Linked DNA regions of Mus musculus. The protein of the gene in region 1 purifies or fractionates together with the protein of each later gene. This does not show direct contact. Links are inferred from orthologs where the notes say so. Each region holds a gene or a part of one and is shown on either strand. Other genes may lie near its edges.

The links.
Region 2: the proteins of Ppp2r1b (region 1) and Strn3 purify together in Homo sapiens (co-immunoprecipitation; 5 studies listed by BioGRID and IntAct, with this or other methods). This does not show direct contact. The link is inferred for Mus musculus from reciprocal best matches to the Homo sapiens genes PPP2R1B and STRN3.

The regions. Positions count from the first base shown.
Region 1 is NC_000075.6:50,866,792-50,870,610, forward strand, and holds part of Ppp2r1b (serine/threonine-protein phosphatase 2A 65 kDa regulatory subunit A beta isoform), read left to right. Parts: intron 1-36; coding exon 37-151; intron 152-534; coding exon 535-605; intron 606-871; coding exon 872-1,006; intron 1,007-3,271; coding exon 3,272-3,445; intron 3,446-3,819. UniProt on the Homo sapiens protein: The PR65 subunit of protein phosphatase 2A serves as a scaffolding molecule to coordinate the assembly of the catalytic subunit and a variable regulatory B subunit.
Region 2 is NC_000078.6:51,650,098-51,653,916, reverse strand, and holds part of Strn3 (striatin-3), read left to right. Parts: intron 1-1,071; coding exon 1,072-1,245; intron 1,246-3,686; coding exon 3,687-3,813; intron 3,814-3,819. UniProt on the Homo sapiens protein: Calmodulin-binding scaffolding protein which is the center of the striatin-interacting phosphatase and kinase (STRIPAK) complexes.

The DNA.
Region 1 (3,819 bases):
CTAGTATACAGTAAACCTGTATAAATTGTTTTCTAGCTCCAGAAAGCGGTGGGCCCTAAGATTGCACTCAGCGACCTCATCCCCGCCTTCCAGAGCCTCCTCCGAGACTGCGAAGCTGAAGTCCGAGCAGCCGCTGCCCACAAAGTAAGAGGTGAGACTGGCCGTGGGGTCCTTTGACTTTGGTGGTGTCAGCTCGCTATAGTTTGGTTTGGTTAGGACCGAAAACATAAACCAGGGAGAGATGAGTCCACGCAGCAGCATTTCCGCCCACGCTGATGCATTTGTTGTGTTAGGAAGTTTGGCATGGTTTTGATTTATAAGATGCTGCAGACGGATGGCACCAGCATGGCAGGTGGCACCGTCAGACTGTCCCATAGGTTAGGTCAGGAGGGCCTCCAGGCTGTGCTGTGTGGACCAGGCTTACTGCCCCTCCACACTTTATTTGCTCAGACTGACTTAACTTGGACTGTTGGGAAGAGCTGGGTAATTGTCTTTGGCTCCTTGACAGCATTGCCTTTTCTGTTTCTGTTTCAGAGCTTTGTGAGAACCTGCCCGCTGAAGGTAGAGAGACTGTAATTATGAATCAAATCCTGCCCTATATAAAGGTGAATGTGACTTCATTTTATTTTGTTTACTCTACCTACGAAGCTCTTAGCATCTAAAGAAGGAAGAGGCATAAATTAATCAAATACATAATAACATTAGTGCAAATGTTTAGAGTTGATTTGTGCGCGTTGCACTGTAGAGCTTGTGGGCGCATAGCTGTTACTACAGACGGCCAGGTCAGCTGTGCTGTTGGCTGGTGCTGCTGTGGACTCCTCGGGAGGTGCTGTAGAGGCTTTTGTTGTCTTTAATTTTTATTCTCTTTTAGGAATTAGTGTCTGATACCAACCAACATGTCAAGTCAGCGCTAGCTTCTGTAATTATGGGATTATCTACAGTTTTGGGCAAAGAGAATACCATTGAACATCTTCTGCCTCTATTTTTAGCTCAGTTAAAGGACGAGGTGAGTCTGGGTATGAATCCTTTTGCTTTGATATAATTGATTTGATATGATTTTGTTTCTTTTTTTTTCTTTTGGGTTTTCTGAGACAGGATTTCTTTGTGTAGCCCTGGCTGTCCTGGAACTTGTCGCTTTGTAGACCAGGCTGGCCTTGCACTTAGAGATCCATCTGCCTCTCTCTGTCTCCCAAGTGCTGGGACTAAAGGGACTGTAAAGCTTTGGTTTGGTGATTTTACTAAAATAGGACCCAAAGTGTAAAGATGGGGAAAATCATAGTCTAGATATTTGACAGTCCTTCTGTTTGGGTGTAGGGCTACAGGTTTCCCCAAAAATGGGCACAAGGACTAACTAAAAACAAACCAACTGGGTGTGGTGGAGCATGCCTTTAATCCCAGCACTCTGAAGGCTGAGGCAGGGGGATCTCTGAGTTCAAGGCCAGCCTGGTCCATAGGTCAAGTTCCAGGACAGTCAGGGTTACCCAGAGAAACCCTGTCTCTAAAACCAGAATCAACCAAACAACCAAAAAAGAGGAGCTGGAGAGGGAGGGAGCCTCGTAGCAAACAGCACTGGCTCATTCTTGGTTTGGTTCCCAGAACCCACATGGGTTCCTCAACTGTCAGTGGCTCTAGTTCAGGGATCTGATGCCTCTGTGGTCACCCGCAGGCACCAGGCACACAAATAGTGCATAAACATGTTCATGCAAAACAGTCATGAAATAAGTCTTAAAACCATCCAAGAAATGCCTATTAAATGTTTTATATTATAGTCACTGATTCCTTATATTTAAAGCTCATATATCTTTGCTTAAACTGTGTCTTTTTATTTAAGTTTAAAGTGTAGCTTCAGATACTAACATTTAGTGGCTGGAGATTTGGCTCAGCAGTTAGGAGGCCTGTCGCTTGTAGAGGACTAGAGCTCCAGTTCTGGTGGCCATGTTGAGTGGCCCTCAACTGTTCATAACTCCATCTCCAGAGGGTCTGGTCCCTTGCTGGCCTTTGTGGGCACACACACACACACACACACACACACACACACACACACACACACACACACACACACACACGGGCACATGTGCACGTTACACAGACAATACATACATTCGGATAAAAATGTAACAGGTAGTGCCAGGCATGGTCTGAGAGCTTTGGATATGTCATTAACTGTAACTGCTGCAGTGGGCTCTGGGCTTGGTTCCTCCCGGTGTAGAGGAAGGAGAGACCAGGGAGTAAGATGTCTGCGGTCTCCCTGCAGTGGCAGAGCTGAGTCCCAGGGCCTGGGCCCTTTACATCTCATAGACTCTGTGCTTACTTATTAATTAAAAGTCTGAAAATCTTTATTATTATGTGAGCGAGCGTACACTGTGTGCACATACAGAGTTCAGAGGCTGTCTCTGTGGAGTCCGTTCTCTCCATCCACTTTATGTTGGATGTTCTGGGGATAACTCATGTTCTGGGGATCGGATCCTGGCTGCTAGGTTTGTGAGGGAAGCCCCTCTTTCTGCTCAGCCATCTCGCCTGCCAATTTGTTAATTGATTTTTTAACTTAGTGTACAATCTCCCGTAGATGGATGGTACAGGCTTTTTACTGACGTGTGGCTAAGGTCAGTGACATTGTATCTGTGCACTTAGTGTTAAGGATTTCCTTCTGCAGTAGCTTTTCTATAGTTCTGGTGGTTGAGTCCAGGGCTCTGCAGGATGGACGAATGCCTTTCCTACCCAGCCACACCACAGCTTACCCCCACCTTTTAAAGCCTGAGCCTTTTCTTTTCTTTTCTTTTCTTTTCTTTTCTTTTCTTTTCTTTTCTTTTCTTTTTCTTTCCCTTTCCCTTTCCCTTTCCCTTTCCCTTTCCCTTTCCCTTTCCCTTTCCCTTTCCCTTTCCCTTTCCCTTTCCCTTTCCCTTTCCCTTTCCCTTTCCTTTTCCTTTTCCTTTTCCTTTTTTCCTTCCTTCCTTCCTTCCTCTCTTTTTCTTTCTTTCTTGTTTTTTTTGGTTTGTTTGTTTTTGTTTTTTTGTTTTTTTTTAAGATGGGAGTCTATCTGTGTATCCCTGGCTGTCCTGGAACTCACGTTGTAGACCAGGCTGGTCTTGAACTCAAGAGATCTGCCTGCCTCCACTGCCCAAGTGCTGGGTTTAAAGGTGTGCGCCACCACCCAGATTAGTACTTTTTAATTTGAAATTCTACTTAGCACTTTTTATTTTCTCATGCCAGGAGACTACTGGGCAAAAGAGTTAATTTTCACATGTAGTCTCTGGGGCTTGTGTGTTTATAGTGTCCAGAAGTTCGTTTAAATATCATCTCCAATTTGGATTGTGTGAATGAAGTGATTGGAATCCGTCAGCTCTCTCAGTCTCTCCTTCCGGCCATAGTGGAACTGGCTGAAGATGCCAAGTGGAGGGTCCGCCTGGCTATCATTGAGTACATGCCGCTGCTGGCTGGCCAGCTGGTGAGTACCTGGGCTTTGCCATGGTTTGAGGGTGGTTTTGGTTTTCAGTGATCTATTATGGCCTAACAGGAGGGTGGTGCAGAAACACAGTCACCTTGCTGCCTCCTCAGGTTGAAGGTGTAGAATGTGCTTCTGTGATAGCAATGTTGTATTATTTAAACCCTATATAATTTAAGGACTCGTGTATGGAAGGGAAAATACAGTTTCAGGATAAGTCGGTTTGGCTTTTTGTTTGACTCTGTCCTAAGCAAAATGAATTTGGGAGCAATTTTTTCTGCATCCTGATGAAAAGTTGAAGATCCACTACACAGGGCTTATAATGTGCTGTTCTGGATAAAGGTATTACACTGCCTATTTCTCTGGGTTCGTTATTA
Region 2 (3,819 bases), on another chromosome or scaffold:
GTTGTGAGCCACCATGTGGTTGCTGGGAATTGAACTCAGGACCTCTGGCAGAGCAGTCAGTGCTCTTAACCCCTGAGTCATCTCTCCAGCCCAGGTTCTTTTTCTTATAGTTGGAAATTTTGCTACTTGTATCCTACTGATAACCCTGGTGAAATTAAAGTCATAGCCTATTAAGTATTTGGTTTAGATGAGTGAACTTTGGAGGAATGGTCTGGAATCTGAGATCCTTGAGGGGGGATTAGTCCATCTATCAATCCCTGGCTGAGAACTTATTCTTTCACATACCTTGAACATGTGAAAATTGTGTATTTGTGCTTACATGTATGTGTATAAATTTACATATCTATTCTTTAAATAGATACTTATATGTGTCTATATAAAGGCATGTAACCTGTGTTTATGTATCTCAAAAACGTTTCAACACTGAGGCTTTTTTAGGTATTGAGATAATTGGCTCTTACTCAATGGTAGTTAGTCATACTCTCCCCTCCCCTTCCCCTCCTCCCTCTTCCTTTCTCTTCTCTTCTCTTCTCTCCCCTCCCCTTCCCCTCCTCCCTCTTCCCTTCTCTTCTCTTCTCTTCTCTTCTCTTCTCTTCTCTTCTCTTCTCTTCTCTTCTCTTCTCTTCTCTCCCCTCCCCTTCCCCTCCCCCTCCCCCTCCCCCTCCCTCTCCTCTCTTCAAGACAGGATTCTCTGGCTATCCTGGAACGCCTATAGATTAGGCTGCCTCTGCATCCTGAGTACTGGGATCAAAGGTGTGCACCACCACACCTGCCTTAATTCATTTTTTAAAAAAGATTGTTTTATGTATATGAGTTTTGTCTGGATGTATACATGTGCACCACATATATGCTGATTGCCTACATAAGTCAGAGGGGAGGGTATAGGATGTCCTGGAACTTAAAGTTGACATCATTCTCTTAGACCTGGAATTAGGCTATAACGAAGCTATTGAGACAAAGAAAAAGTTAATTTGTGTGATTGTGGCTTTTTTTCTTTAATTTTTAATATGATTTGAAGGTGGCAGATGTTAACAATATGTTGAATTTTAGCATTTAATTTTCTCTTGATAGGTATCTTCAGGAAGTAGGATACACAGATACAATATTAGATGTACGATCTCAACGGGTAAGGTCATTACTTGGACTGTCTAATTCAGAGCCAAATGGATCTGTAGAAGCAAAGAATTTAGAACAGATCTTGAATGGTGGTGAATCTCCTAAGCAAAAAGGACAAGAAATCAAAAGGTATGATTTGTATTTGTTGATTAACATCATTTAACTTATGGAAGTCAAAATCAGTGATACAACAGTGGCTTTTCATTGGTAGTCTCATTTTCTTTCCTTTTTTTTTTTTTTAAGATGAGCCAGGTTTTTTTTTTTTTTTTTAAGATTTATTTATTTATTTATTATATGTAAGTACATTGTAGCCGTCCTCAGACACTCCAGAAGAGAGGGTCAGATCTTGTTACGGATGGTTGTGAGCCACCATGTGGTTGCTGGGACTTGAACTCTGGACCTTCGGAAGAGCAGTCGGGTGCTCTAACCCACTGAGCCATCTCACCAGCCCTATATTTTCTATAGTTGCATTTATTGTTAGATATTAAATGAATCTATCAAAGCCACTTTTTTATATATAGTAGTAAAATAGATTATTGTTATTAGCTGTTACTGGAGTAGTTTTGAAATACTTGAAAACATTTTAATAGATTAAAGATACTTATTTGCTGTATAAAAAAAATTGATGCTCACAGTCATCTATAGGATGGAACACAGGGTCCCCAATGGAGGAGCTAGAGAAAGTATTCAAGGAGCTGAAGTGGTCTGCAACCCTATAGGTGGAACAACAATATGAACTACCCAGTATCCCCCAGAGCTTGTGTCTCTAGCTGCATATGTATCAGAAGATGGCCTAGTCAGCCATCATTGGGAAGAGAGGCCCCTTGGTCTAGCAAACTTTATATGCCTCAGTATAGGGGAACACCAGGGCCAAGAAGTGGGAGTGAGTGGGTAGGGGAGCGGGGCGGGGGAGAGTATAGGGAACTTTTGGGATAGCATTTGAAATGTAAATGAAGAAAATATCTAATAAAAAATGTCGGGGGGGGGGAGATTTATAAGATGGATTGGTACCTCTCGGGTTTAGGAACCCTAACTAGATAATGGAAGGGAATGAAGAAATTACAGACATTGGACACATATACACAGGAAAACTGGGATGGCTTCCTGGACACTCTGATGGAGAAGTACATCACCCAGAAAGCTTAGTGTGTTTATTATATAAAACTGAACAAGGAAGTGGGGGTTATGGTGTACAGCTGAATAAGGAGGTTAGCTAGTCTTGGTAAGGAGCAGTCCCCACAGGGGAGCAGTCCTCACAGGGGAGCGAGCAGTCTTCAGGACCTTCATTTCTGGGTTTGGGGGTTAGAAAGCTACTATGGGCATTTCTACACAAACTGTTAGCATTCACAATTGGATCAGAGGAAGGTTTTGCTACCACATTGAGCCTCATCCTGTAAAGGGTTTGCAACCCCCATGGGGCTGAGGTTTAGTCACTCGGGTCTTTTTTTTTTTCTTTTTGTATTTTTGAGACAAGGTTCTTTAGGTGGCTCTGGCTGGCCTATAACTCAAAGATCTTCCTGCTTCTGCCACCCAACCACTGGGTTGATCAAAATCATGCATATGACCACACCAAGCCTGGATCGCTCATGTCAACAACGTACATCTACTCAGAACTTCCTCTGCTCCCCAGAGTGGTATATCTTGTGTAATATATGCTTTATAATTTTAAATATGGGCAGTTCTAATAAATTTAGCTTTTGTGTTTTACTATTTAGCCTTCCAATATTTAGGCTAAAGTATAAGTGGTTGTAAATATTAAAAAAATTGCTAACTTGTTTTTTAAATATTTTTCAGAAATAATAGCATGTTTGATCATTTAATCTTAGTAGATTATTTTTCTTTTTAAAGACTTATTTTTAATTATGCTGGGGTGTGTGTGTGTGTGAGATGGGAGGTTATGTACATATAAGTTGTAAGTGCGTGCAAAGGCTCAAAGAAGGCATTGTATCCATTAGAGCCAAAGTTCATACCATTGTAAGCCACCTGATGTGGGTGTTGGGACCCAAACTCAGGTCTACTGAAAGATCTCTTACCTATAGTCTTACCTGCTGAGCCATTTTCCGTCCCCAGATTTTATTTTCTTATAGCATTTACCTAAAATGTAGACAAAAAGCTTTGGTTGAAACTTATTAAACACAGAACAATCCTTATTTTAATTATAGAGCACAAATAATCTTTAAAGATACTCTAGAATAAAAGTTTTAGGCACTATATTATAATTAAGGTATCTTGAACCAGGAGCCTACTGGGAAAGGAGGATCAGGAGTTAAAGGTTATTTTCATCAACATAATGAGTTGAGACTAATCTGAATTATGTAAGATCTTGTCTCACAACAACAAAAAATTAGGTTGTGTTTGAATTGCAGATGCCACCTTCAAGTAGTTTTAAACTAGGAATTAGAAGGGTCAGAATGTGGATTATTGATTTAACACTTGTCTAGCATGTGTGACATCCTGGGTTCAATTTGTAGTATCACTAGATAACAAGAAGGGTATAGGAATAGAAAGCAGGAAGAAATACCAGAGTCAATCTTTGAAATAGTTGGAATCATCTTTTCTCTTTTCTACAGGCCCCCTGGTGATGTTCTCGAGACATTCAATTTCTTAGAAAATGCTGATGACAGTGATGAAGAAGAAAATGACATGATTGAGGGCATCCCAGAAGGAAAAGACAAACTTCGGATCCATAAGCACAAAGTAGGA